Saccharomyces cerevisiae S288C: one gene and its partners. Changing the gene in region 1 together with any one later gene gives a genetic interaction. Each region holds a gene or a part of one and is shown in the gene's direction. Other genes may lie near its edges.

Region 1 (5,964 bases):
TAATTATTGATGCAAATAATTATTATCTGCAATTAATCTATAAATTTTTAAATCTTAAAGAAACCAAAATTTCATGTTATAATTGCATACTGGCCATCATCTCTAAAAAAATGAAACCAATGGACAAACTGGCTTTTCTGAATATGATCAATTTGACCAACGAATTGACTTACTATCATCAAGCCATATCAATGAATCCCCAAATTATTACATTTGATAATTTAGAAGTCTGGGAAAGTTTGACCAAGTTGATTACTTCCTTTGGCATAGAATTTACTATCATTATTGAACAAGTCAACGATGATCAAAAATTGGATACATTATACAAACAATCGGTCATTTCAAATGTTGATTCCATATTATTGGAGAAAATAATACCAATACTTTTGGAATTTATGAATAATGAGTTTGATTCAATAACAGCAAAAACCTTCCCATTCTGGTCAAATTATCTGGCTTTCTTGAAAAAATATAAAGCATCTTCACCAAATTTTGTACCATTGCATAAGGATTTTCTAGATAATTTCCAACAAATTTGCTTTAAAAGAATGAAGTTTTCAGACGACGAGGTCACACAGGATGATTTTGAGGAATTCAACGAAACCGTAAGATTTAAATTAAAAAATTTCCAGGAGATCATCGTGGTAATTGACCCAAGTCTGTTTTTAAATAACATTTCTCAAGAAATTTCAGCAAACCTAATGAATTGTAAAAACGAAAGCTGGCAAATTTTCGAGCTAACTATTTATCAAATCTTCAATTTAAGTGAATGTACCAAGAACAACTATTTCGGTTTGAACAAGAATGAAATTATGACCTCACAACCTTCGCTAACTTTAGTACGATTTTTAAATGAATTGTTAATGATGAAGGATTTCTTATTAGCCATTGATAACGAACAAATCCAAATACTATTCATGGAATTAATTGTGAAAAACTACAATTTCATATTTTCAACTAGTGCTAACACAGCAAATGCTACTGATGATGATGAAAAGTATCTATTAATATTGAATATTTTCATGAGCTCATTTGCTATGTTCAATAAAAGAGAAAACGTCAGACTAAGGTCATGGTATTTATTTACAAGATTCTTGAAGTTGACAAGAATCAATTTGAAAAAAATCCTCTTTGCCAACAAAAATTTGGTTAATGAAATAACTAATAAGATAAGTCCTCTACTTCACATAAAAGTAACATCTATCAACGCCCAAGGGACGGATGACAATGATACAATTTTTGATAATCAGTTGTACATATTTGAGGGTATTGGGTTTATAATCACATTGAATAATAGCAGTCAGGAGCTCACTGCTGCCACTGCCAACACCCCCATCGATTACGATATATTGGACCAGATATTAACTCCGCTATTTACACAATTAGAGGGTTGTATTACCCAAGGAGCTTCGCCAGTTGTGATTCTGGAATGTCATCACATTCTTATGGCTATTGGTACTTTAGCGAGAGGTTTGCACATTGGTCTCGTCCCTGAGAATCAGGTCAACAATATGGTTGTCAACAAAAAATTAATCAATGACTCTTTAATCCATAAATTCTCTAATATAGCTGAGGTTATATTAGTAACATTCTCTTTTTTCAATAAGTTCGAAAATATCCGCGATGCATCTAGGTTTACCTTTGCCAGGTTAATTCCAATTTTAAGTAATAAAATTTTACCATTTATCAATAAATTGATTGAATTGATCTTATCGTCCACAGATTTAAAATCATGGGAGATGATTGATTTTCTTGGGTTCTTATCTCAACTGATTCATATGTTTCACACGGACACAGACTGTTATCAGCTGTTTAACCAGTTACTTACTCCGCTTATCAACAAAGTCCATTCTATTATCGAAGAGATTGATGAACAACACGACCAACAATCAAGCAGTAACAAACCTATAGACACTGCAGTCACAGCCACCTCCGTAAATAAGAATATCGTGGTCACCGATTCGTATAGAGATAAAATACTATTGAAAAAGGCTTACTGCACATTTTTACAGTCATTTACTAATAATTCCGTCACTTCGATACTATTGTCAGATATAAACAGAGCAATCCTGCCGGTCATATTAAACGATTTGGTCACCTATACGCCGCAAGAGATCCAGGAAACATCAATGATGAAAGTGTCACTCAATGTATTGTGCAATTTTATCAAATGTTTTGGGAATGGGACCTGCTTGGATAATGACGACATCAATAAAGATCCCAACCTTAAAATAGATGGTCTCAACGAATACTTCATCATGAAATGTGTCCCAATAATCTTTGAAATTCCGTTCAATCCAATATACAAGTTCAATATCAAAGAAGGGAATTTCAAAACAATGGCATATGATTTGGCAAGATTACTGAGGGAGCTATTTATCGTCAGCAGCAACCCCACCACAAATGAGAATGAATGTGTAAAATATTTAACTCAGATCTACCTTCCACAAATCCAATTACCACAGGAATTGACGATTCAGTTGGTTAATATGTTAACCACAATGGGTCAAAAGCAATTCGAAAAATGGTTTGTAGATAATTTCATTTCTGTTTTAAAGCAAGGTCAATAGCTTTCAGGCGCAGAAAACCTGAAAATAAAAAAAAAATGCAAAACGAGAGTAAAAGTTGTAATTATATTTATACTAATATTTAAATTGGTAATATGTAATTAGACTTATCATTCACTTTGGTTTAGCAGCTAGTCATGTAATGGCACTAAAAGTGCTTCTTTATCTATTATTTATACGTGACATACCATTACTTCTATGTATTACGTAAAGAATGACAAACGTTTAGTTTTTTTAATTTCAAAGAAATCGTTGGAAGGTTCAAAAAGGATCAGGTGAGATATTAGAGTATATGAATGTTTCAGTCTCTAAGCTACACAAAGAACTAGCATAGTAGGACTTTAACCCATACAATGGAACTCAACGACCCTTCAATTATATCAAGCAGCCAGTTTTCAGGTGAATTGTCTGACAGCGATACTGCAGCCGCTACTCACAAATCGCAACAAGCCATCTCAAATTTATTCCAAAAATTAGCCAAAAAGGGCAGAGAAGAGAAGCCAATCGGTAGCGTAGAATCTTCAACTGATAGCTCTAACATTTCTGTTGCTACGAGCGGTAACAATAAAGAAAGCAATAAAAAAAAAAATAAGAAAACGGCCATGCTAAATTTCAGCAGTTTGACGGACCCTATAACGAACTACAAACCAATGGATCTGCAATACAAGACATATGCATACTCCATGAATGAACTTTATCATTTGAAACCATCTTTGGCAAGTGCTTCGTACGAAGAAGACCCACTTATTTCGGAACTTGTGAGGAGTTTACCCAAAAGAAAGTTTTGGCGATTGCGCATGGGACCTCCAGATCAAAAGCATGCTAATAACCATCATTTTAATGGGAACAATGGTGGAGGCAGTTGGAAGGCTGGTTACAAGAATGGGAAAAACGATGAGAGAAGAATGAGTAGAACCAAAAACATGCAGGGAGGCAAACGAAGATCTCAACAAGATGATGAAGAAAAAAAGATTGACCAAGAAATGCTGGAGATGGACAAGAATCTTCAATTAGGAGGTGACGTCGGCCATTCAATTGCAGATTTTGAAGATTGGAAGGCAAAGATGAAAGAATTAGAATTGAAAAAACTTTCAAAATCTAAAGGAATCAGTAACTCTACCGCAATTGCTCCCAGGGAAAGCGCCTCTCATGAAACACCCACCGATTTAAGACCGGTCATTCCAAGGGGCCCTAGTTCAATAACAGATTTTTTGAATTTAAAGAGGCAAGATAAGAAGGAAGAATCTTCACAACAAACACCTGGTATTCCTGTTGGACAGCCAAGCCTATCCAAAACCAGTATAGAACAAGTTAACGAATTAGAAACTAATTCAGATTTGGGTAAAAGTTCATCATCTCGGTTTTCATCATTTTTCAATAAATCTGCCACTTCGTTGCCTTCATTAGATAATAATAATCAAGTGCCATCGTCAAACGTGTCTGTAGTAAACAACGATGGCAACAGTACACCTCATCAAAGTGGTTCAAGACTGATGTCGTTTTTCAAAGAATCTAGATCGAGCACTCCAAATGCAGAATCGCAGTTGTTATCAGCCTCAGACAAAGATAATGGAAAGATGCAGACTCTTCCGCAATTCCAGCAGCAACCGCAACAAATGCAACCAATGGCATTTACCCAGCATCCTCCTAATAACAACGCATTTTTCAATGGGCTATTGAATAAAGGTAAAAGTGAAACTAGTACTCCTCCTCCTCCACCCCCAGGACTAATTGCTCATCAGGGTCCACAATTTCCTGTGATGGGTGTACCACCAAATTTTCCACAACGCATGATGCCACCGCCACCAGGTCTCGTTCAATTCCAGAAAGATTCTAAAGATGTAAATAAGAAGGAAGACAGGCAATTAAGGCAAAATAAAAATCCAAACGGAACAAGAAATAGCAAGGGAAAACAAGAGGAAACAGCAACGCCAGATCTGCCTCAACAGCAATACATGCCACCACCCCCACCTCCAGGGTTTTTTCCAATGCATCCTAACTTTCCTAACGGCCCAATGCCACCATTACCACAGGGGTTCCCAATCCCACCAAATGGTATGTTACCGGTAACAGGACAACAGCCACAGCCACCTTATCCAAATATGATGCTACAAGGAAATTTCCCCCCTAATTTCCAGCAAGGTTTTGGTAGTAACTCCCCTATGCCAATTCCATCTATTATTAATGCCAATGGCAAAAATGTTACAAACCAGTTACCACCAGGATTAAACTCTAAAAAGAATATAAAATGAGATGCGTAACGAGCGAGTACTTGACAGGAAACGACAAAAACACAGTGAACATACTATCTAAAAGCATGTTCTTTTCCTTTTCATTTTTCATCTTTATTATCTAGAGTTTGTATATAACATGTATCCTATATTATCTTATCCTATCATCATCACTTAACTTGTTATAATTCTCCCATATACTTATGTTTTCGCCTTTGATATTTACTAGTCGAAGGAACTTTTTTCGCAGTTAGTAACGTCACGCTCGGAACTAAACATTAATGAATGAGATGCATTTTTATACAACACTTTTACAGGCTATATACAACTAAGTGATTTTCAATACATTAAAACTACCAGAATGGACACCAACCGATATAATGTTGGCATAGGTTTTCCACTGATGTGGCTTGTTGGATTAGTTTATCCACTTGTTCTGGAACGTCCAAGTCATTAAACCTTCTTATATCGTTCCCCGTTAATTTGTCAGTAATGCGCTTCAATACCAACATGGCCCTTGCATTTCGAATGGCATTCTTGTGCTCGTTTTCCACCCTTTGAACTTCTTCTTCGGTAATAGCCCCATTACTCAATAGCTCATTGGCATTCATCACGGGAAGTTGAATGCCCGTTTCTTCCTCAATTTTCTTTGTTGGTAAGTCAAAACCCCAATTGATCAAAGGATCGAAAGCAAAAGCTTCAAGGATTGCCATTAATGAACCCTTGTTATCTCTAAGTACCTTCATAACATTCTCACAAGTAATACGGAAGCTACCTTCAATTCCACTCACTTCCATTGCATATGTTAACATTCTAGTTAATCTAAAAGGTACTTTTTCGGGGAATTTTTCTCTTAATATAGCAGCCTCGAAACAATCACCAAAATCAATATGAATGACTTTCCCAGTGATTCTATCCAACATCAAATTACTAGGGTGGCGGTCACCTAACCCCAATATATAACCGGTCATGGACATCACGGCTAGCGATCGAGTGTAAGTAGTTCTACGCTCCAACCACGTTTCCGATGACCTACTCTTCAGCCATAACACCTTATAAAGATCTTGTCCCTCCGTATTATTTAGGGCGTAAGTGAAGACTTCTACTTTCTGCAACAACGTTAAATTGTCATAATCAGGTGCCATTTGTAACATGACCCAATGCTC
Region 2 (6,926 bases), on another chromosome or scaffold:
TGATCATTTCCAAGGGCCTTATATTTAGCTTCGAGGCGATGTGTAATAATGGGTCTGGTTGCGGTTTTGTAGGCCTAAACTCCCTTGTCACAATATAGTCAAACCTCGAAAGCTCGGATGGAATAAATCTTTTAACAAAAGTCTCTACCGGGGCTCCGACATTTCTAGTACATATGTTCTTGCTAATACCATTTTTCGTCAAATACCTCATTATGTCAACCAGACCAGGCTGCGGTTGCATCTCCTTCATGGCTTTTGCCTCAACTAATTCTATTCTATCATGCGCTTCTTTTTTTTCTTTTTCTGTGGGCAATGTATCAATGAAATGAAGGATATCAATCGATTTGTCCTCCAATCCTATGGCGTTTCTCATTGCTGGAAACATCCAAGGCTGGGGTAGGCATAATGTGCCATCCATATCAAATACAACCGCTTTGATGTGTTTTAATCCCTGTAGTCCTTGTAGCTTTGTCATTATTCTGTGATACACTTTCAGTGACTATTGAACCGTATATATTGCCCGACTATCCTAATGATTGTGTTAGCGGCACCTGGCGATTGAGTCGAACACCCTGATATTTCGTTATAAGATATATATGACTTTTCTGGTTTTTTCGTTTTCTTTACACTTTTTTCCATAGCACGCGTTCAAAGCCTAATTTTGTAGAAAGGGGACGTTTTCAAGAGTGATTGAACTAGTTGAATATACTGTTTTGGTTTTGGTAAACGCCAAAATAGTTTGTTTTGAAAAGCTGATCTAATTTTTTTTTGCCGTACTGTACCCTTAGTCAATCCATCTATCCTCTGAACAATGACTTCGGCTGTACCTTATGATCCATATGATGATCTGGATAACAATCCATTTGCTGAGCCCCAGGAGGAAGATTCTGAACCTGCTGCAACAACCACAGATGGATCATCTTCTATGTCAGAGGAGCGTGTAGGTACTGAGCAAACTGCAGCTTCCGTTCAGGACAACGGAACTGCAAATAACATTCAAAATGGTCTTGGTGAAGAAGGAAACGCAACACGATCAAAAACTTCAAACGAACACAATGAAAACCAACAACCATCTCAACCATCAGAACGTGTTATACTTCCTGAAAGAAGTGATGAGAAAAAAAAATACACTCTACTTGCAAAAGTAACAGGATTGGAACGATTTGGATCTGCAACCGGTAAGAAAGAGAATCCGACTATTATATTTGATTGCTCCACAAATTTGCCAACATTTCGCAAACAACAATACAAGAATGTCAAAAAATCATACGAAGAATTCCACCAATTGTTCAAATATCTGAATGTTGCCATTCAGGAATCTTTTGTTCCTACTCTTCCCTCTGCGTATACTACATTCGGAATTAATAGCGAAGAAGATAGGATGAAAGTAACGCGAAATTTCCAACTTTGGTTTAACAGGCTATCGCAAGACCCCTTAATTATTCGGAATGAAGAAGTGGCCTTTTTCATTGAAAGTGACTTTAATACGTACACACCCATCAACAAGTCCAAATCACTCGCATCTGGGTTGAAAAGAAAAACATTGAAACAATTAGCACCTCCATATGATGAAATCACAGAATTAGCAGAATTCCGGCCATTAGTCAAGTCTATATATGTTGTTTCTCAGAGCTTGCAAGAAAAACTGCTAAGAGTTTCCAGAAATCGCAAGATGATGGTTCAAGAAGAAAATGCCTTCGGCCAGGATTTCGTTAATCTAGATGAGCACAATAAACTTTACAGAAGATACGGTAAAATATTGACTGCTGTGGGTGATATTGATAGCATTATAGCAACCATGGACATGGCGACATTGTACGATGGTTTAGAGTGGATTGTCAGAGATGCTTATGCCGTGAAGGAAGCATTGACCAACAGGCATTTTATCATGCGAAATCTAGTACAGGCACAGCAGAATTCAAAGGCGAAACAGGAACAAGCACGCAGGTTCCGGTCAAGAAGAGATATTAACCCTATGAAAATCGATGAAGCACTACGTCAGTTGAAAGCTGCAGCTAAAAACGAACAAGTTTTGACCCTTAAGCTTCAACGAATCACGTCCAACATGATTATCGAGAGAAAACAGTGGATTAGCTGGTATGAAGAATGGATAAGAAGCTCGATCAAAGAATTTACACTAAGAAAGATAGAGTATGAAAGAAAGAAGCTGACGTTACTAGAACGAGTACGTTCTGATATCAGAAAAGCTGATGAAAACGGAGGTTTGTCACGTCTAGGACGCCATGCTGTCTCAAACAACAACTCCGATACTTCTCAAACCCTTAAAGGGGACAGTTGGACGGGAGAGAGCAACCGCAAAAGTCAAATCCCCATCAACAAGATCGCTCATACCGAATTTGATGATGAACTATTCACTGAAGACGATGGGTACAACTCTCAGGACTCAGACACTACATCACTGAATGCGCGCCATGCTGCTTCACTTTTGGGCATGTCCACTAAATAATACGTATATAAAGTAGAAAATTCATACCTTTGAACAAGGTGATCTTTTTCCTTTAGTTGATATTAATCCCGGGTAAACTTCCGTGTTGCACTTTTAAAATTTTTTTTCAAATCTCACCTAGAAAATTTTTTTTTGCCATGAGCCTTCCTTTAATTAATCTCAATTGCATACTACTGTTGTATTAAACGCTTCACTGGTTTTTTTACTTAACCCCATTTGCCAGAAAGCCAGACCTACGCACCCAAGAATTTTTAATAACAGATAAAAATGGTTGCTTTCACTGTTGACCAAATGCGTTCTTTAATGGACAAAGTTACCAATGTGCGTAACATGTCCGTTATTGCTCACGTCGATCATGGTAAGTCCACTTTGACCGATTCCTTGGTCCAAAGAGCCGGTATTATTTCCGCTGCTAAGGCTGGTGAAGCTCGTTTCACCGATACCAGAAAGGATGAACAAGAAAGAGGTATCACTATCAAGTCTACCGCTATTTCTCTATACTCTGAAATGTCTGACGAAGATGTCAAGGAAATCAAGCAAAAGACCGACGGTAACTCCTTCTTGATCAACTTGATCGACTCTCCAGGTCACGTTGACTTCTCCTCTGAAGTTACTGCCGCTTTACGTGTCACTGACGGTGCTTTGGTTGTCGTCGACACCATTGAAGGTGTCTGTGTCCAAACCGAAACTGTTTTGAGACAAGCTTTGGGTGAAAGAATCAAGCCTGTTGTTGTTATCAACAAGGTCGACAGAGCTTTGTTGGAATTGCAAGTTTCTAAGGAAGATTTATACCAAACCTTTGCCAGAACTGTTGAATCCGTTAACGTCATCGTTTCCACCTACGCCGATGAAGTTTTGGGTGATGTCCAAGTTTACCCAGCCAGAGGTACCGTTGCCTTCGGTTCCGGTTTGCACGGTTGGGCTTTCACTATCCGTCAATTCGCCACCAGATATGCTAAGAAATTCGGTGTCGACAAGGCCAAGATGATGGACAGATTATGGGGTGACTCTTTCTTCAACCCAAAGACCAAGAAGTGGACCAACAAGGACACTGATGCTGAAGGTAAGCCATTGGAAAGAGCTTTCAACATGTTCATCTTGGACCCAATCTTCAGATTATTCACTGCTATCATGAACTTCAAGAAAGACGAAATTCCAGTTTTGCTAGAAAAGTTGGAAATTGTCTTGAAGGGTGACGAAAAGGACTTGGAAGGTAAGGCCTTGTTGAAGGTTGTTATGAGAAAGTTCTTGCCAGCTGCCGATGCCTTATTGGAAATGATTGTCTTGCACTTGCCATCTCCAGTCACTGCTCAAGCCTACAGAGCTGAACAATTATACGAAGGTCCAGCTGACGATGCCAACTGTATTGCTATCAAGAACTGTGATCCAAAGGCTGATTTGATGTTGTACGTCTCCAAGATGGTGCCAACCTCTGATAAGGGTAGATTCTACGCCTTCGGTAGAGTTTTTGCCGGTACTGTTAAGTCCGGTCAAAAGGTCAGAATCCAAGGTCCAAACTACGTTCCAGGTAAGAAGGACGATTTGTTCATCAAGGCCATTCAAAGAGTTGTTTTGATGATGGGTAGATTTGTCGAACCAATCGATGACTGTCCAGCCGGTAACATTATCGGTTTAGTCGGTATCGATCAATTCTTGTTGAAGACTGGTACTTTGACCACCAGTGAAACTGCTCACAACATGAAGGTCATGAAATTCTCTGTCTCTCCAGTTGTGCAAGTCGCTGTCGAAGTCAAGAACGCTAACGACTTACCAAAATTGGTCGAAGGTTTGAAGAGATTGTCCAAGTCTGATCCATGTGTCTTGACCTATATGTCTGAATCCGGTGAACATATCGTTGCTGGTACCGGTGAATTGCATTTGGAAATTTGTTTGCAAGATTTGGAACACGACCACGCTGGTGTTCCATTGAAGATCTCCCCACCAGTTGTCGCTTACAGAGAAACTGTTGAAAGTGAATCTTCTCAAACTGCTTTGTCCAAGTCTCCAAACAAGCATAACAGAATCTACTTGAAGGCTGAACCAATTGACGAAGAAGTCTCTTTGGCTATTGAAAACGGTATCATCAACCCAAGAGATGATTTCAAGGCCAGAGCTAGAATCATGGCTGACGACTACGGTTGGGATGTCACCGATGCCAGAAAGATCTGGTGTTTCGGTCCAGACGGTAACGGTCCAAACTTGGTTATTGACCAAACTAAGGCTGTCCAATACTTGCACGAAATCAAGGATTCCGTTGTTGCTGCTTTCCAATGGGCTACCAAGGAAGGTCCAATTTTCGGTGAAGAAATGAGATCTGTCAGAGTTAACATTTTGGATGTTACTTTACATGCCGATGCTATCCACAGAGGTGGTGGTCAAATCATCCCAACCATGAGAAGAGCTACTTACGCCGGTTTCTTGTTGGCTGATCCAAAGATCCAAGAACCAGTTTTCTTGGTCGAAATTCAATGTCCAGAACAAGCCGTCGGTGGTATCTACTCCGTCTTAAACAAGAAGAGAGGTCAAGTCGTTTCTGAAGAACAAAGACCAGGTACTCCATTGTTTACCGTCAAGGCCTACTTGCCAGTTAACGAATCTTTCGGTTTCACTGGTGAATTGAGACAAGCTACCGGTGGTCAAGCTTTCCCACAAATGGTTTTCGACCATTGGTCCACTTTAGGTTCTGACCCATTGGACCCAACCTCTAAGGCTGGTGAAATTGTTCTTGCTGCTCGTAAGAGACACGGTATGAAGGAAGAAGTTCCAGGCTGGCAAGAATATTACGACAAATTGTAAGAAGTCTAAATGAGAAAAGGTGGTTCTGTAAGAGCAAACCTTACCGCCTTATGATCTTTTTCATTTATTCTCTGCTTTAAAATTTTGTCGTAATAAAAATAGTATGGTAATAGACTTATATATTATTTTCTTACACATTTTTGTCATATAGTTATATTCCGAATGTTTACAATCGAACCCATCATAAAAATGGACCTTTTCGTATTACCGCCCCCTTTGTAGAGGGGGAGGAACGGCAACTTCTTGACTATTACGACGTATCACCACCCCGTTAGATATACTATGGAAAAAACTATTAAAAACCATTATAATTCATTAATGACATCGGTCCTGAGGTAGTATTACGTATAACTTACCTGGCTCTTGGTCATAGCTTTTTATCCGTTTACGAAAAAAGGAGAAGAAGATTGGGCTTCCGCGGCTATTGTTTGGTTTATACCCCGCCGTATGTTGGTGCTTCTATAATTAGAGCGAAATAGGAAATACAAAAAATCCTTGGAGGGGAGGACCAGCCTCATCGGGCTAAAACTCCCTCAAAACCGGAGGGGCAACCAAAGTATATATCTCATTATGGCCGATACTTCTAGAGGCGCACTAACAGAAGCACCTCAGCCCCTGCAGGTGAAAGAAAGAGGTAATTAATTTTCCGGTTACTTACTTTCTCTCGCTATTGGGGAAAGCGTTGGTTCGAGGCGTTGAGGTCGAAGACAATCATTGTTTTCTTCTTATTTAAGTACATCTTTAGAAGAAAATTACACAACTGGAATGAGTAAATCAATACTTGCTTTGTGTTCCCATTGTTAGATACTCTTGTTTTAGCATGTGATAGCAGTATATAATATAACCTGCAAAATAATCGAAACGCGTACACAGGAAAGAGTACATAAATAACCATAGTATATTTCTGGACATATCTTATTACACAACATAAAATAGAATGTTTAACATGAATCTACTTTCTACACCTTCTTCTGAAGAGGGTTCTCCACAGAATAGGTCATCTTCAATGTCTTCTGTTGAGGGCAAGAAGGATAGGGACACCTTTACTAATTTGCAAAACGAATTTGATGGTAAAGTATTTGGCGTCTCACTCGAGGAATCACTGAAAGTTGCTCAAGAGGAAGTAATTATCCAAAAAAGTACAAATGAAATTGGTTCCATACCGGTGGTAATAGCAAAAAGTGGGAAATACCTAAAAGAGAATGCATTAGACACAACAGGAATTTTCCGTATTGCGGGAAGCAATAAACGTGTTAGAGAGCTACAAGCTGTTTTCTCTAAACCGCCCGATTATGGTCGTAAATTTGAAGGATGGTGTGATTTCAATGTTCATGACATTGCAACTTTATTAAAAAGATATTTGAACTCATTAAGTGAGCCTTTGGTTCCCCTAGCATTATACGACATTTTTAGAAATCCAATATTAGAAAACCCAAAAATAAATGAGCACAAAGAACAAATCATTAAGGACTACGAAGATATTTATATGCTCTTACCACAACAAAATCGCCATTTAATACTTTATTTAGCCGCGCTCTTGAATTTATTTGCAAGAAATGAAAAGAAGAATTTAATGTCAGCAAGCAATTTAGCGGCCATCGTACAACCCTCACTTTTGTCTCATCCCAAGGATGAAATGTGCCCGAAAGAGTATGAGGCTTCC
Region 3 (4,462 bases), on another chromosome or scaffold:
CATGATGAATAGGATTCAATAAGTCCCGCGACAACCTCGTCTGGAATTAGATTTGCAGCTGCACTTTTCATTAATACTATCAATGGTACAGGCATGTTCATGGATTCGGATTCTGCATTTACTGCGTCCATAGTAAAGAGTTTAGTATCATGCTCATCCTTAGTATCATTATTAAAGACAAAATCCTTCAAGCATTTAGTCACAACTGAAGCGCCCGGGTCCATCTCAGCAATTTTCCTTTCTAATTCCTTTATAGCTACCTTTTGAGTTTTCAAATCATCTGTTAATATCGTAGAAAACATTGTTTGAAGGAGCGAATGACCACCGAAGGGTTGTGCCATAAATAATTCAATCATACCCCTCATGATCGCTATTGGATTAGTAAATTTCATGATCTGTCCCATTACTGTGTACGGCATAAGCTTATGTAACCGTCTTATTTGTGTATAGAGTTCATAACTGTTATCGTTACCCAGAAACATTTGATAAATCATTGAGGAAATATAAATCTTACACCATTCCACAAAGTCTTGTAAAAGTGGTGACAGGTCTTCAACTTTCGTATTGTCCTTGATTTCTACTAGTAGACTCATCAAGTATTTTTCATCTTTTAACAGGGATGTTTTGAAATCTTTCATTGAGTCTTGCAGCTTTAAAGACTTTTCTAACGCCATCTGTTGGAAACGTATTTGGTTCTCCAAATTACTTACATCTATCAGAGCCCTGTTTCTAATGTCATCTGCTATTTTCGGATTTATGTCCTTAATATCTAAATTAGGCCCACTTAGGAAGAAGCGACGAATAGATGAGCTTTGAGAAACCTCTGCATCTTTACACAAAGTCCTTAAATATTGTCTTAATGAAGTTCTCATTTTTTCACCCACCAAAGTATTGATTTTTGAATCGGATGCATCTTTATATTCATCAAAATCACTTTCTTCACCTTCACCTTCTTCCTCATACTCGTCCTCATCAATATTATCTTCTTCCTTGATCTCATTTAGAATATTTTTTCTCAACGTTTCAGTTTCTTTTTCTGTGAGTACTGTTTCTGTAGCAGATAATTCATTCGTTGTCTGTAAAAATGAAGAATTATCAGACTCTGATGCAGATTGTAAATCAGTGTCAAAAGTGTTGACGATTTTTTCCCTGGCTGCTGATTTAGTTTGCCCATTGTGTAACACTTCGGTTTTAGTTATCATAGACGTCACTTTTTTATTTCTATGAGGTAAGCGCGGACATTTCTTCCCCGGAAATTCTGATTTTAAATCATGAGATAGTTTTTTGAAGTCGCTGTATGTTCTTGTCACATAGAAATAACCAGCATGGTGATCAAGATTACTATTCTCTTCATTGCTGTTATCTTGGTCGTCGTCATCTTGCTTCTTAATCTTAATCAAGAAATAATGATGTTTTCTAGATTGCTTGCTCTTAGTTGAAGGCACGCCAAGGGATAATTTCGAAAATAAAGATGCTGAGGATTCGGGCATACTATTTATGGTACTGTTAATAGTGTTGTTGAAGGCATTCTTCATCCATTTAGAAGTGGAAGCAAATGATTTTATAGCATGGCTTTTGGGACTCGAAGTTGGAGTAGATTTACTAGACTTGTCATTATCCACACTTTCAGTACATTTCCGTGAATTCTTATTGAACACGGATATAATATTGACGTCCCAACCGTTAATAAAAACGGATTCGTTAGTGAGCAAATTCTCTAAATTTTCTCTAGTTGGCATTGCAAATTTCTCAATATTAGAGCGTTTTCTCGCTTGGCCTGACTGTAAAACGAATTTATCCTCATTATAATACGCTTGCTCTTGAAAAGAGCCAACACCGGAGTTAAAGAGCAACAAGATAACCTTTGATAGCTTTTTGGAAACTTTCTTCCTTTTTGAAGCTTCCTCCCTGTCATAACTTTCACTAAACCCAAGACTCATGAAATGTTCAAAGAACACTTGAACCTTACTCTGCCAGAATTTTTCATCAACTAGCAAATTTGTTGAAAGTAAAGGAAATGTGGATATAAATTCTTGCAAAACATAACTCAGCATGGGATAATTAACGCTAAAATGGCCTTTGCCACCGAGCACTGGTGATGAATCGTTATTGGAGATAGGCTGTGGAGCTGTCGGATCGTTTGGTGAGAAAGGATAACCGAACTTTCTCAAAGCAAACTGATCGTTAAGCTTTCCAATTTCATAATCCAATTGACATCGAAGCAGTTCCCTCTTCAGGTAGTGTTCTTCCGTTGGATTTAAAGCAGGAGTGTCTTGAGTAATCATTTGAAGACTGTCTATTTTTGATTCTTTAGTACAATTATCTTCAACCACTGATTTCAGTACACAATTCCGACCACAAGGTAAGGTTCGTTTTTCTTTTTTTATAGAGCCCAATGCACAGTAATTGGATGTAGCTCTTAAAAAAGAATGAAAGCTAGAAAGTGATCAATTATTCGAAAAACACTTTAATACGTTCCTTGTTCACGCCTAAAAAGTTAACTGTCAAATGGTTAACGTACATTTATCTGTCTTATGAGAGGCGAAACAGGCGTAAGCATTAAAAACCCAAGGCCATCTCGTCCTTTTTCTTGTTTTTGGCGTAAAGGAGATGTTGAAAATATTAGGAAAAGTGATATAGGGAACGAAAAGAAAATAGACGCTAAGTTCAACAGGCTTCAGTATAATCTATATTACAAGCCTCTCTCGCACCACAAGGCCGGTTTATTGTACAAAGAACTCTTCTTCAGAAGCTGCTTCTCTTATACTACCTGCTCATTAGACTTTCAGGGTAAAAGGCACCAAGTGGAAAGAAAGGCAGTAGATATAGTACTTTGAATTCTTTTGACATCGCAAGGTTACTCGCATCCACTCCCTATTATTTACTCTGTTTCAACTCATTGTAACTTCATTTTCGCTAACTTCCCGCCAGACCAGCTCTTCAATCCACACTTGCCAGATAATGAATCAGTCTATTTCTTCGTTGATTAAGCTTAAATTCCTTCAATCACACAGTAACGATAAAAATGGCAACAAAAAGGGCGGAAGCAATGTTTCAACAGGCATAGATAAATTAAGAGAGTCGGAAAGTTATAGAAGTCCTTTTCTTCAACTCGCAGAAATACAGGAACACACTAATAATGACGACGATAAACTTGATGTAAAAGAATGCGAGCCCACAAAAAAACACAGCAAACTAAGCAGGATACGGCGTAAGATGGGTAGGTTAGACTTGAATTTCAGGTCAGCCAATGAAAAGGGTTCTGAAGATGATGAAATCTTGGTTGCACAACACCTCCGTAATGGACAAGATCCTGAAGAAATGCCTTTCAAATCAGAAAACAACATAGATTCGATAGAGAAAGTTCCCAAGCCCGATGGTGAGAGAGTCACGCTTACTAGCTCCGGGTCTGATAACGTAAAGAGAAATTCAAAACACGCCCCATTCATTCCTGTGAAACCTGCTCTAGAAAAATTTCCTTCTTCTAATAGATTGTCAAGAGATTACAGAAAATCACAAGAGCCTACCCTGTTTAACGGTGATAGATTAGTTCCTACTCTTCCTACTGTGAGTAGGATATCGACATCTTCTTCCGTCGGTTCCTCTACAGCGGCTTCAAGATATTTCAATCCGTCCAAAAGAGCTGTTGTTGCATCATCATCATCATCGTCGTCGTCAATAAAATTCAATTCGCTGCACGCAATACCACTTGATGCAACTCCTCAAATTGAATTGGCAAAACAACAAGATGAGATCTCCAAAAGGAGGTTCGGAAGAAGGCGCAGTAGAACTGTTGACGTATTTGACTATATTAACAAAAACAATACAGCAAAGAACAAACCGCCACTCTCTCCATCTTCTTTTATTAGGACTATTGACGAGAAAAATACAAATTCTCTTATGCAAGACCCCATGGGATCCCGCGGACCTCTTTTGCCCGATGATGCCAATATTATAAGCAATGATACAGATGGAGCGGAAGCAAGTCACCCAGACCATCAGGTTTTATCAAGGTCTCGATCTCAAAGTACGTCTTTTGTTCAAGGCAAGGGCGGCAAGAGAAAATCAATTGAAGATGAAGGCTACCATAACAAATTGGGCCTACCTCATGGATCAGGCCCTACTTCAGTTTACAACAATAAAAGCAATGCCAATTCAACTATTACTGGAATGTCAAGAAGAAGTAGCTCAATTGTGAATGCTTTAAGTAGTTTTGTTAACCTTCGCTCCTCCAGTTTATCATCCTCTAGGCAACAGCACCTTCAACAACAACAGCAGCTACAACAAAAACTGGATGTCTCGCTGGAAGATCTACCACCGGTTCCCGCGCCTGAATTTAGTGATTCTTGTAAGGACTTCTTGATTAAATTAGCGCCCTACGGAAAGTTCATTGGGATCATTTTAACGGAAAAAGATGATGAGTTCAAAAAAAATTGTTTAAACTACCTATTAACGAATTGCT
Region 4 (6,328 bases), on another chromosome or scaffold:
ACTAATAGCCCTGCGCTAGCGCCAATTAACATGTTCCCGAGCTTAAGTAATTCTATACAGCCGATGCTTGGCACCTTGGCTCCGCAACCGCAAGATATAGTACAGAAGAGGAAGCTACCGTTACCAGGTTCAATAGCCTCTGCAGCAACAGGCAGTCCTTTTTCTCCATCACCCGTTGGTGAGTCTCCCTATAGCAAACGCTTTAAACTAGACGATAAACCAACTCCGTCTCAGACGGCTCTTGATTCCTTACTTACAAAATCCATTTCAAGCCCTAGATTACCCCTTTCGACGTTGGCTAACACAGCTGTCACGGAATCTTTTCGCTCACCTCAGCAGTTTCAGCATTCTCCAGATTTTGTAGTTGGTGGTAGCTCAAGTTCAACAACGGAAAATAACTCTAAGAAGGTAAATGAAGATTCTCCATCATCTTCTTCAAAACTAGCTGAACGACCTCGTCTTCCAAACAACGACTCCACTACTAGCATGCCTGAAAGTCCCACCGAGGTAGCTGGTGATGATGTTGATAGGGAGAAACCGCCAGAGTCAAGTAAGTCGGAGCCCAATGATAACAGCCCAGAATCGAAAGATCCTGAGAAAAATGGTAAAAACAGTAATCCGCTTGGTACGGATGCTGACAAACCAGTACCAATTTCTAATATTCATAATTCTACTGAGGCTGCAAATTCAAGTGGTACAGTGACAAAGACAGCTCCATCATTTCCGCAGAGTTCTTCTAAGTTTGAAATTATAAATAAAAAGGATACGAAGGCGGGGCCAAACGAGGCAATCAAATACAAGCTGTCCAGAGAAAATAAAACAATATGGGACCTATATGCGGAGTGGTATATTGGTCTGAACGGTAAATCTTCAATAAAAAAATTGATTGAAAATTATGGCTGGCGAAGGTGGAAGGTTAGCGAAGATTCACATTTTTTTCCTACTAGAAGAATTATTATGGATTATATTGAAACGGAATGTGATCGTGGCATAAAACTCGGCAGGTTTACTAATCCTCAACAACCGAGGGAGGATATACGGAAGATTTTAGTAGGGGACCTAGAAAAGTTCAGGATAAATAACGGTCTGACTCTGAATTCTCTATCATTGTACTTTAGAAATTTAACGAAAAATAACAAGGAAATTTGTATTTTTGAAAACTTTAAAAATTGGAACGTTAGATCAATGACAGAAGAAGAGAAATTAAAGTATTGCAAAAGGCGACATAATACACCATCTTAAGTTTATTGAGGTTGTCCGCGACAATAGTTCCTTCAACAAAATAACGAAGCGACGATAACGAGAAATGTCATTAGGTTATTACTACCTTTATAGAAAATATATATACTTATTTAATATTTATATAGATTTATGTGTGTACATACCTATGCGGATGTATGCCTATGTGGGAATTCCTAAATGTCTTTCCATCAACGACTAAATATATATTCTCATGACTGACTATATGGGTTACGAAAACTTAATTTTTTTGTCAAAGACCCTGGCGAATTGAGAAAACCCGCTGGATAGATGGGCTATCCGAAATTTTGAAAGATGGAAAAAACATTAATCTCATTAGCAAAAGAGGTAAGACCCTGGGTGAAGAAAAGTCCGAGGAGGGAACACAAAAAAGTCTAGGATAATGGCACATGAAAAGTTTAGTATACCTGAGAACTTCACATTAGCGCAGTCTTTGCAATTGCTTTACTCTGTTGTCAAAAATCAATATAAAAACCTAGCAGACCTAATAATCAATAGCAAAGGTAATAAGGACACAGTAACGTATGGGAAAATCCACAAAAACTTAGACACTTTACTGGTATACGTCAATGAAGGTCTACGAAAAATTGAAAAGACTTATACCTTAAAGAAAGGGTTAGGAAATCTTGTAGTTGATCATCCTGAATTGAGGAGCATCATTGAGGATTTCCAAATTCTTGGCCAGGATATAAGGATCGCACGTCGTAAAGCAGAAACGCTTATGGCCGAAGGAAACGGTAGTCCCTCTTTGTCATCCTCCTCTTCCGTTTTGGGCCTTGGGACAGGAAATGGTTTGCGTTTTCCAAAACTTTGGAGAATGGGTTCCAAAAGAGATAAATTGAAAGAAGCTGACGAAAAGGAGGCTAAAATCAACAAACAGGCTGATAATATCAGACGTGCTAGGAAATTAGAAGAAGAGAAAAAGTTAGGAGCAAAACTTCAGTATGAGAGGGACTTAGAACTTCAAAGGGAAAAATTGATCGAGTTAAAGGTTAAAGAAAAGGTCGAATTTGAAGTGGCCCAAAAGTTGGAGGAGGAGAGAGTTAAGAGAGAGGAAGAAGAACGCAAACATAGAGAACAAGCGGAGAAAAAACGTATATCAACCCTGAAACATGAGAGGAAAACAAATTACAAATCAAGGGCTAGCCTCGACAACTTCTCTTCCAGTAGCAAATCTTCTGGAAAGATTGACAACTCCCTAATTAAAAGAAGATCACTTGACGTTGTACGGACTTCAGGCGAAAGAGTACGAACGCCAGTAAGAAAATCAATGGAGGCAGCAGAAATAGGTATGGCTGCGCAGTTAGCCTGGTCTCAGTATCAAAACGGGGCAAATCATTCAAAAGTGAGTAACAACGGATCGCATTCAAATGAACTTCAGATACGTTATAAGCCAACACCACCTTTGAAAAAAAGGTATGACTACAAAAAGCCAACAGTTAATCGACCGATTATAAAATCACCTACTCTTAACAGGCAAAACAGCAAGTCTTCACGGAATATACCCACAAATAGCAAGCTGAAGGCTAGTAAATCCAATACTAACAAAGTTTCTCGTAGGAATGAGCAAAATTTGGAGCCTAGTTCACCAGTACTCGTTTCAGCGACAGCGGTACCTGCTGAATCCAAACCCATGCGTTCTAAAAGTGGTACACCCGATAAGGAAAGCTCTGCTAGTTCATCCCTCGATTCCAGAAAGGAGGATATATTAAAATCAGTGCAGGGAGTAGATCGAAACGCTTGTGAACAGATACTTAATGAAATTCTTGTTACGGATGAAAAAGTTTATTGGGAGGATATCGCAGGCTTACGGAATGCGAAGAATTCTTTGAAAGAAGCAGTGGTTTACCCATTTCTGCGGCCTGACTTATTCAAAGGGCTAAGAGAACCTGTTAGAGGTATGCTTTTGTTCGGCCCACCAGGTACAGGTAAGACAATGATTGCTAAGGCGGTTGCGACAGAGTCCAATTCCACATTTTTTAGTGTAAGTGCATCTTCTTTGCTATCGAAATACCTCGGTGAATCTGAGAAGCTGGTTAGAGCATTGTTTTACATGGCCAAAAAATTGTCACCCTCAATTATTTTCATAGATGAGATTGACTCTATGTTAACAGCTCGCTCTGATAATGAAAATGAGTCCTCGAGGAGAATTAAAACAGAACTTCTTATTCAGTGGTCCTCCCTATCTAGTGCTACTGCACAATCGGAAGACCGAAATAATACGCTTGACAGCAGAGTACTTGTCTTAGGAGCAACGAATTTGCCATGGGCGATTGATGATGCAGCAAGAAGACGATTTTCACGGAAACTATACATTCCTTTACCAGATTATGAAACTAGACTATATCATTTGAAGAGATTAATGGCCAAGCAGAAAAATAGCCTGCAAGATTTAGACTATGAATTAATAACAGAAATGACCGAGGGGTTTTCTGGTTCTGATCTTACGTCATTAGCCAAAGAAGCGGCAATGGAACCTATTAGAGATTTAGGAGATAAGTTGATGTTTGCGGATTTTGATAAAATCAGAGGAATTGAAATAAAAGATTTTCAGAATGCTCTGTTGACAATAAAAAAGAGCGTGTCGTCAGAATCTCTACAAAAATATGAGGAGTGGTCTAGTAAATTCGGTAGTAATGGTTCCTGAACGAGAGGGAGCGTCTTAATGGCAAAGAAAGGTATGAGAAGGAATTTTCCCCTTTCAACTTCTTGCTTCTGATCTAATTTTATTACCTATGTACTTTCTATGTATTATCAAAGAAAAACTAACTTCGGTTCCCTTATGATTTGATATTTTTCTTTCTTATTTACAATTAGTTTTCTCAGAACGATATTCAATACAGTTCTCCGGATTTTTGCTTACTATATTGGCCCCAAAAAAATGAAATAAAAAAAGAAAACAAAATAATATACTTGGGTGAAATAAAAAAAATAAATCAATAGCACCCAGTTAACCTAGATTCAAAGTTTCTTCTTCAATCTCAATTTATATACACGTTTGAGTTAATGGGAAAGCAAAGTCCAGCTATAAAACACTTGACCGTTAGCGCCATACCCTCCAACAACTAATTGGACCTTCTCCTTCTGCCCAAACAGTATATGCAAGGTACAGCAGTTACTACAAGCACAATATGTCTTGGATAAAAAATGTAACAGAATCTCCGACTTCACTGATTAAAAAAGTTTCATGTGGTTTGATAATTGCTGCTTCTCTATATGCCATTGCACCCAGCCTAAGTGCGCTAGTCTTTGGGGATTCTAAGCAGAGTATTGGGAAGTACACGACAGTGGGCTTAATTAATCGTGGGAATGATTGCTTCATAACATCATCTTTGCAAGGCCTGGCTGGAATACCTCGATTTGTAGAATATTTGAAACGGATAAGAACGGTCCTTCTAGAATTAGAAACTAAGCTGTCAAATAATGCAAAAGGCGACAATCCTACAGTTGATAACACTACAAGGCATAGTCGACTTGAAAACTCGTCTAATTCACTTGCCCCCTTACACGAAAGTCTTACCAGTTTAATTTTGGATTTGATATCTGTAAAAGATCGTAAGACGTCAATTTCTCCGAAAATAGTGATAAACACATTAGAGTCCATCTTTAAATCAAAGATCTCATCCAAACAAAATGATGCACATGAATTTACATTAATATTACTACAAACATTACAGGAAGAACGATCAAAATTGATCGATTACAGTAAACAGATATGTAATTTGAATATACCAAAGTTTCCATTTGAGGGCGAGACTTCCAAGTTTCTAGTATGCCTTAAATGCAAGGGTCTATCAGAACCATCATACAAACAGACTTTCATCCGCGAACTGTCCGTACCACAACAAACATCAGAGAATCTATCCAATATTCTAGCACACGATGAAACAGAAATCATAGACGACTATTCATGCCTGATCTGCCAAATAAGAGCAATCTTAAACCATGAAGAATATAGAAATTTCAAGGACTGTACCCCGGATGAAATTTTAATGTTGGACAGATTGAAAAATTATGCCACTAAAGCCCCAATTAACGAAAATTTACCATTCGAAGTAGAACAGTACGTCAAGCGTTACTCAAAGGGCAATTTGCAGGTATCTAATATAAAGGGAAAGGTCATCAAAAAAGATGTAGTAGTACAACTGCCAGACATATTAATTGTTCACTTATCGAGATCCACATTCAATGGTATTACATATTCTAGAAATCCCTGCAATGTCAAATTTGGAGAAAGAATAACACTTTCTGAATATACATTGGCTGAGAGTGGGACAATAACAGAAAACAGGCAAGTCAAATATAATTTGAAAAGTGTTGTGAAACACACCGGTTCTCATTCGAGTGGACACTATATGTGTTACAGACGCAAGACTGAAATTCGTTTCGGGAAGGAGGATGAATCTTCCTTCAGAAGAGCACCAGTTGTCAACAATGAAGTTAACAAGAATCGCGAGCAAAACGTTGCACATAATGATTACAAAAAAAGCAGATATAAAAAAGTCAAAAACGCCCTGCGGTATCCTTATTGGCAAATATCTGATACCGCCATAAAGGAATCTACCGCTTCAACTGTCTTGAATGAACAGAAATATGCTTATATGCTATACTACGAACGTGTAAATAAATAACCGCCCTGTACATAGGTATATTATAATAATAGTAAGTTACGCATCCATATCCACATCAGTATCCACTGCCATCATTTCAACATCGGTATCAGCCTCTCCATCATAAGTGTATTTCGAAGTCATTTGATTATGGAACCACTTCCACCAGCTTAGATAAGCAATTTCCTTATAATCTACCCATTTTATTATTTGTAGCCTTTTTTCTCTCAAACGTTCCCATATTTTGTCATAAAACAAGTCATTGTCGCCGCGTTTACTTGTGGAACACTTGATGATCTCTTTCAGGACCTTATCATCAATAGCGTCTGTGAATACTATATTGTTATGAATAAGATTGTTATCATCTGCATGTCCGTTCTTGGGCCCTTTATCATTTAAGGATAAATTCTCTAAATCTATAATTAGTCTTTTTCTTTTATAATTATCAATTCCTATTG

What was found.
Region 2: mutations in EAP1 (region 1) and EFT1 together harm fitness more than expected from each alone (negative genetic interaction), as found in Saccharomyces cerevisiae (2 studies listed by BioGRID).
Region 3: of EAP1 (region 1) and YPR096C, extra expression of one rescues a mutant of the other (dosage rescue), as found in Saccharomyces cerevisiae (one study listed by BioGRID).
Region 4: of EAP1 (region 1) and YTA6, extra expression of one rescues a mutant of the other (dosage rescue), as found in Saccharomyces cerevisiae (one study listed by BioGRID).

What each region holds. Positions count from the first base shown.
Region 1 is NC_001143.9:50,784-56,747, forward strand, and holds EAP1 (Eap1p), read left to right. Parts: upstream 1-2,920; coding exon 2,921-4,819; downstream 4,820-5,964. Other genes in the region: Ran GTPase-binding protein LOS1, read left to right, coding at 1-2,570; phosphatidylinositol kinase-related protein kinase TOR2, read right to left, coding at 5,152-5,964. UniProt on the Saccharomyces cerevisiae protein: Can regulate translation through binding to eIF4E. Competes with eIF4G and p20 for binding to eIF4E in vivo and inhibits cap-dependent translation in vitro. Plays a role in cell growth and is implicated in the TOR signaling cascade.
Region 2 is NC_001147.6:572,364-579,289, forward strand, and holds EFT1 (elongation factor 2), read left to right. Parts: upstream 1-2,734; coding exon 2,735-5,263; downstream 5,264-6,926. Other genes in the region: YOR131C (putative haloacid dehalogenase-like hydrolase), read right to left, coding at 1-475; retromer subunit VPS17, read left to right, coding at 812-2,467; GTPase-activating protein BAG7, read left to right, coding at 6,201-6,926. UniProt on the Saccharomyces cerevisiae protein: Catalyzes the GTP-dependent ribosomal translocation step during translation elongation.
Region 3 is NC_001148.4:723,217-727,678, reverse strand, and holds YPR096C (uncharacterized protein), read left to right. Parts: upstream 1-2,534; coding exon 2,535-2,837; downstream 2,838-4,462. Other genes in the region: LEC1 (Lec1p), read right to left, coding at 1-2,285; Arf family guanine nucleotide exchange factor SYT1, read left to right, coding at 2,962-4,462.
Region 4 is NC_001148.4:414,121-420,448, forward strand, and holds YTA6 (putative AAA family ATPase YTA6), read left to right. Parts: upstream 1-1,642; coding exon 1,643-3,907; downstream 3,908-6,328. Other genes in the region: transcription regulator GCR1, read left to right, coding at 1-1,242; putative ubiquitin-specific protease UBP16, read left to right, coding at 4,392-5,891; YPL071C (uncharacterized protein), read right to left, coding at 5,928-6,328.